Arabidopsis thaliana: one gene and its partner. The protein of the gene in region 2 interacts with the protein of the main gene of each other region in a pairwise test. Each region holds a gene or a part of one and is shown on either strand. Other genes may lie near its edges.

The links.
Region 1: the proteins of AT3G21330 (region 2) and ZFP3 interact in a two-hybrid assay, tested with the Arabidopsis thaliana proteins (one large-scale study listed by BioGRID).

Annotation. Positions count from the first base shown.
Region 1 is NC_003076.8:8,685,049-8,688,887, reverse strand, and holds ZFP3 (zinc finger protein 3), read right to left. Parts: upstream 1,701-3,839; 5' UTR 1,365-1,700; coding exon 657-1,364; 3' UTR 473-656; downstream 1-472. UniProt on the Arabidopsis thaliana protein: Acts as a negative regulator of abscisic acid (ABA) signaling during germination and early seedling development. Involved in the regulation of vegetative development and fertility. Modulates red light signaling in seedling photomorphogenesis.
Region 2 is NC_003074.8:7,505,696-7,509,295, reverse strand, and holds AT3G21330 (basic helix-loop-helix (bHLH) DNA-binding superfamily protein), read right to left. Parts: upstream 2,057-3,600; 5' UTR 1,726-2,056; intron 1,593-1,725; 5' UTR 1,577-1,592; coding exon 455-1,576; 3' UTR 110-454; downstream 1-109.

The DNA.
Region 1 (3,839 bases), on a different chromosome or scaffold from region 2:
TGTCGAAAACACGCGTGAAGTGATGATAGCAACATCTATGACAAGTTTTGTCTTTTAATGTTTTCTTACATATGGAGCAATGTGATGCCCTTCTAATAATCTCTAACAAAGAGAACCCCATTGGATGCTTTATTAGTTTATTTAACGTTACATGTATTTTGGTATATACTACCAAAGAATTGTATTTGATATTGTGTTTAATTTTTCTTCTAGTACTCTTTTGCTTTTAGTGTCACAATCATCCTACACAGCAACTGTCTTCATAGTTTATTTCTATCTGTTTTGTTCTGTTTAAATGTCTTATTAGCAACTTTTAAACAAATAGAATGATTGTTCTAACTTTTAGGTAACCTAACTTTGAATTATAATATTAATTCCTTTTTCTTGTGACTCTGAAATCAAATCTTCCCACAGATCTCAATATTCACTTTTCTTCTCTTTTTTCCTTTACTCTATACTTTATACGGTTGTTGGATGTCTACTTGAAATCCATTAATGTATAGTTAATAGTTTACAAATCTCAGACTAAAGTAGATATGTGAAAAAGATGTACATTAGATTATCTTTACTAGAAAAAAATATACACAAAATAGTACTAACAATCACATGAAAAAACAGTAAAAAGACACTAAATTCAAGAATCAAGAAAAAGAATCTCAAAGCTTGAGGGACAAGTCAAGTTTCTGCTGCTCTTCATGATGACTTGTACTTAACAACAATCCTTTGTCTCCGTGCCATTGTTCAAGAGTCGGTGACCCTTCTAGAACCCGTCCTGTGTTGCTTGGGCTATCGATGTTATTGGACCGTGAATTTACTGAAGGAGCCATCATCATCATCTGATGATGATGATGATGAAAATTATCCATTGAGGGAAATTTACCTATGGCTGGTTGTTGATCAAATGGAAGTCTTGACCAGTTGATCTGACCATAGTGACCACCAAACCCGTTATAAGAACTTAGCTTGTGGCTTATCGAATGCGCTTGGATCCCTAAAGACCTATGGTTGTTGTACTGTCCGTGGAAAGGAAGTGGAGAGAAACCGTAAGGATGTCCAAAAGCTGAGGCTGACGCTGCCATACGTTGTCCTCTCTTCGCCAACGTTCTCTCTCTCTTGTGTGCGTTTTGGTGACCACCAAGTGCTTGTGAGCTATAGAAAGTTCTTTGACAATAGTTGCATGAGAAAAGCTTTTGTTCTGTGGATGTTGTAGATTCGTTAACGATACTCGTTGTGTCGTCTATGCAGTCGATGAGATTGAGTTCGTGACTAGAATTATGAACGTCTCTTTCTTCGTCTTCGATGCTCTGGTTTAGAGAATCTTGATATGGAAAAGCAGTGGATGAGGAAACTATTGAAGCGTCCATGAGAGCTAAAAAGGGATAGATTTTTTCAGGAGATGATTTTTTTCTTTCTCTTTCTCTGTCTCTTTCTATCAATAATAGCTATGAGAAGAGGTTTATATCAGTGAATGGGAGCAGAAGTAGATGGTATTAGAAAGGAATAGACAAAGGAAACAAAGACCCTACACTAGAACATTTTCTTAGGGTTTTGTAATAAGTGGACCAAAGTACTATGATGAGAGCGATAGGTAGGTTTGGTTTGCTGTCACACCCTTCTCACAAAACACTTTAAAGCTAGTTGATTGGAACTCCACCATCTAAATACCTCTATCTATATATATGACTCTTACCCTTTTTGGCTGCTTCCTCCTTCAATAGTCCAACAAATACATTAAGTGTGTAGAATTTAAATTTCGCTTTGATTCCGGTTCAGATTTATTTGGGTTTCTAGATTTTCAGTTTATGAATGACCAAATATCTAAGTAAACCAAATGAGTACTATACCATTGGTAATCCACAATCCATAATAATTTTTTTTTTGTAGTGCATGTTAAGGAATCCTTTAATATTTTAAGTATGAACATTTTCTAAAAGAAGTTAAGGGATCGAAAAGACAATGGAAAACGAAGCAGTTTCTCAAAATAGTAAGTACATCATGATGAAATGACAGAAGAGAAAGATGACAATAAAAATTGAAAAGGAAGAGTACTGTTCATGGACCATCCAAATTTGTTCAGGTCTGTTTATGTCTACTTTTGTATAACTCCACGAGGTAAGTGACCATTTCTGTCTCCTTTGGCTTCTCGTGTGGTCCTCTCCTTCATCTATTCTTTCTTTTGTCTTCTATTGAGTCAAACCAAAGCTCAAACTAATCACAAAGTAAAAGAACTGGTTATTCGAACTTTGTAATAATAGTTAAGTAAGTATTTCGGGTAAGAATATAGATCGATGATCTTGACAAAGCACCTGGTTAGAACAACTTGGAAACCACTCGTACGTTCATTATTATATTTATCGATTTTACTTTGTATCTTAGTGAGAAATTGTAGACCATGTATATGACTTAAAGAATATTTCGTCTTTATGATGGATCAACCTTTCTCTTGTTGTGTAATCTTAAAGGAAATGATATTTGAAACTTCCACACGCTCTTCTACTTTATCATCTAAAGAGTTTAGTGGATTTGTCAATATGAATTTTGGTTTCCCACTTAATTTCACATCATGACATACAACTAGGTTGCATGACAAAAGTCACTTTCTTCAACCAATTAATACTTTTCTTTTGGAAGCCACATCGGCAAGATCAAACCCACTTAAGCTTTTGATAACAATCTAAACCACATTTCCAAAGTTTTAGTTTAAATTTATTTAGCTAAATTTGAATTACTTTAGCTTGTAATGAAAGAGAAAAGATCTAATGGTTTAAAGTTATGTATATTTGTCGTATGCCAATTGTGACCTAGTTGATGGGTCCAACGTTACATATGGCCGACACAAAAATGGGAAAAAGCTAATTAAGAGTTTTCAGTTTCTAATTAATGGCTAATTATTTTCATAAGAAAACTAATTTTCCTTTAATAAATGTATATGTGAAGTTCTTTCTGAGTTATATGACATCTCCATTTAAGTATACCTTCGTTCTTTGTTTCATCAATCCTCAATACTCAATAGATTGATCATAAAATGTTAGATTAGTGAGTAATGTGAAATCGTGAATTGGGAAATTAAAGTGTATTATGGACTATGGTAGCTTAATGAGTATAACAATTTACCACGTTGTATTTATATGATATAGGTCACATAGTCATCAATCATAGTCAAAAGATACAGATGAGAACATTGGATCTTACTTTAAACAGATGGTGACATGTAGCTATTCATAATTTTCCCTGTATGTAGAGAGATTTGATTCGTCTTTCAAATCTCTTTGTTTGACAAAGCTTTTGTGTATTTTTTAATCTGTCAATGCTATCGGTAAGTAATTAAGTATCATATAGTAAAAGTATTAACCACTAACCGGGTTCATCTAAGTGTTTTTGGGCCTTATTATAATCTAATAGTTAACATGATTAGCTAAATTTATTCAATTCAATAAAAGTTTTCAAAGTGAACGAAAGTTACAAATCTGCAGTGATTATTTTCTAAAAGTGGAATAATTTTATTGGTAAAAAATTACTAAAAACTAATTAACCCAAAATTGACATATTATCAATTGCAGACATAACATTCATCCACTATGGGTTTACTTACCACGTGGAGTTATGCACACTAGTAACCTCTTTGGAATTTTATCCAAAAAAAAAAAAACTCATTGGAATTATTTGATGGCAGATTTATTTCGATGAGAAATGATTGATTGTTTTTAACTGTGGTGTAGCAGTGAATCTGTCATTTGAATTGATATATAGTTTACTTGTTGTTGGTTTCCCACATAAGGTTGTGTATTACATCATTACTAGATCATAACCCGTGCTGTATAGCACGGACATTAATATTG
Region 2 (3,600 bases):
AGACAGAGTTTATTGAGTACCAAAAAAAGAGGATGAATATTAATTTTATATTTTAGTACTCCAAAAGAGTTCTTCAAGTAAAGCTAAACTTTTTTAAGTAGAGAGAGATGGAGGCACTTTCTAAACACTTTTGTTGATAATCATCGCTTCATAATTGCAATTATCTTACGCTATCTTTACTCTAATAAAGTAATAAAAGGTTGAAAATATTGCAGAGACTGTAATTAACCTCTTGCGGCTCTGTTTTTCACAATATTTCAACCCTCGAATTCCACAGATTCTATATAAAATACAAACTTTATATAAAAAGAAATGCAAAACAAAGACTGGAAAGTGTAAACAACACTGCCCGACACCACCCTTGTCACAGAAGTTGCCTTTCTTGAGAACTGCTAAAACAATCAAGACGCCATGATTCTGTTGATGATGATGAAACTCAAAAGTTTATAATCTGTCAACACTCTGGATGATGGATTTGATTAGGATTTTGCAATGGAAGAAAAGATGGGTGGAATAATGGAAACGATGTAGGAGCAGAAGAGAAAGAGAGATTGGTTTGGTCAAGCTTGGGTCTCAAGTTTTCTAAAGCTTTTACTTGTGCTCTAAGGAACTTGAGATAATTAGCAGCTTCATCAAGCATTGATGCAGTATCCATCTTCGTCCCACCTGGAACCAATGTTTGTAAAACCCTAATCTTCTCACTTATCCTCTCCCTTCTCTGTCTCGCTGCAACCGTTTGAGGATCCGTCGATATCTTGACGTTCTTCCTCTTAGGCTTCTCCACAATCTCTAACCCGAAATTCACCGGTCTAAATGCAGCCGCTCTGTATATCATCTCCTTCATTTGTGCAATCGCCTCAGCATCGGGCTCGACATTGTCAGACAAACAAGTTGAATGTTGGAAACTAATGTTCGAAGAACCGCCTCGTTCTTTCTCTGTTCTTGGTTTCTTTGATTTCGATTGATTCTCATCGTATATAAGCTTGAAACCTCCTTTCTCCGAATCATCTTGAGGATGAACAAGACTAAAGTGACTTCCTGTCTCGTCTCCTCTGTTTCTCTTCAAAGACTTAGGTTTTGTTGTTGTTGTTGTAGTCTCAGTAGTTCCTCCATCTCCTCCTCTGTTTCTCTTCAAAGGCTTAGGCTTTATCGTTGTTGTCGTCTCAGTAGTGATCTCTCTGTTCTCAGACTCTGCAGATGAGACTCCACCAAAGCTCCAAAGAGTCTGACAATCTGAGAAAAGCACAGATATTCCTTCATCGTCCTCCGTCGAGGTGTTGTTGCTATTCGACGTCGCAGATAACAAACAATCGAGTGATGATGGATCTATCGAGCTAGCTCTGTTGCCAACATGTTGCTGCTGTTGAATCTCACCTAAGACTCCAAGATCAGACATGAAACAGCTGCTAAGATTCGGATTAATGAGTTGGTGGTGATAAGAAGAAGAAGAACAGAGTTCTCGAGCCATTAGCTCATTTCCTCCCCAAATCAAATCTGATCCTTGATGCTCCATGATTTTGCTCTCTCGTGTCATTCCATACATAGCTTGAGCGTACACAGATTCCAATCCTTCCATCGGATCAAACACAATCCTAAAAACACCCAAAACAAAGACAAATGTGAGAGGCATACTTAGAAACAGAGCATATTTGTAAACAGACATGAAACCTAAATATTTCTTGTTACATGCAGGGAAAAATGATAAAAGCTGATCTTTAAACCAACCTCGTTGTAATAACGGCAGGACATGAAAAAGTGAAACCGGAAGAAGAGAACAAACAGATGAGTTCACAGGAAACTCTGAGAAACGTTTCTTCTGTCTTAAAGAGATGACACCCAAAAAGGGAAAGAAAGAGAAAACAGAGGAAAGAAACAGAAAGAAGAAATGCTCAAAAAGGAAAGAAAGTAAAACAGTCTGTAAATGAGGTTTATTTCTGTGCTGTAGACTTAGAAAGCTCTGTTTCTGTTCTGTTCTATAATGAGCTCTCTGCTAGAGTTATAGATAGTTTCTGTAAGAAAAGACTTGAAAGCCCTATACACCCCTCCTACTATTCATACTCAGATTTGTTATTATGCACATATTTATATATAGAATAAATATTAAATATATTTGTATATTTATTATATATATATAATAGTATTATTTTTAAAAAGGTCCCAACTTTCGATGAGATCAATTGTTCCTCTGTATCAAGCACTAGTTCTGTACTTCTGTAAATTGGTATGGATGGTTAACTTTAAGAATTAGGATTAGTGTAACTTTAAGAATTAAATCCCTATTTTGATATACTTTAAAACATATATATGAGCGCCGTCAAAGGAAAAAAACTTTTAACTAGTATACCGGTAAACTAATTAACTACTCAAACGATTAATTTTTATATTTTACTTTTGAGTTAGGTAATTTTTTTACCAAATTTTATGATGATCAAATCATTAATGGATGCGATTTAGATGATTTAACTATTATTTCCAGTGACATGCATATGCAAACTCGAATATGGAACGTTATCGACACGTTAAATTGAAGACGCCGGCGGCGACAACTTTACTTTCGTAGAAGATGAAACTATTGAAGTTGATCTCGATTAATTTTGCGATATATCTGATATCTCTAAGTGAGATTTTGTTGGATAATAGATACACGACTATCAAAATTGAATTTAAAAGTTGTCACCGAAACTAAACGTTAGAGTTTACAACACTCCCGAATCTAAACTTAAAACATCTCCTAAACCGGATTATTTAATAATTTCTTAATCCAAAATTATTTAATTTTTCATGGTCAAAAATAATGTCACACGCGCAAAGAGAAAAGTGAGATCACTGATTCATTAACCTAAAGCTAACCGAATGATTTGTATTAAAATATAGAAAATAATCTAGACGATTGAATTATATATTTATTTAAATGAGGTTGGTGTGCATAATAGTTTCTGCAATCGAAGAGCATCTTTTTTTGAAACCCTAGAAAATAGATATAATACTTGATAAAAATCATAGACTATATGATTATGCACTTGATGAATACTGAAAAGGGATATGTAATTAAAAATCTACGAGTGCTTGAGCAGAGAAAAAGGACTGACAATCCTTTTAGCGTCGTGCGAACTGAAAACTTTAAGGGAGAGATCGAAAGAAAGTTTTAGGTTTTGGATCTTTTATTTTTTGGTGAATAACAGATTAATGTTGATTGTATATTTTATTTTAAAAATGATCAAGCTGTAAAAGTAATTCATGATTCTATTATCTATACCATTTTCTTATTCTTTTCTATGTGTTTGTTTAATTTACCTTTTCGCTATCATCATCAGTCAATAATGATCAATATCCTCATCTCGATCTATCTAGCAACACTTTCTTGTATAGTTTATCTTCATTTCTTTTGGCTAGAACGTGTTATATAAAAATACCAAACACTCTTTTTGTGGATTTATTTGATTATATATAATCATGATATCATATATAATCGATGTGGAACACTTTTTGGAGTAGTTTTCGAAAACTTTGTAATTTCCATATACCAGTAGAGAAGTACATTATTAGTCGCTTCTTATTTCCCAAGTCGTTCCTCCTTAGGCTTGAAATAACCAACATTCG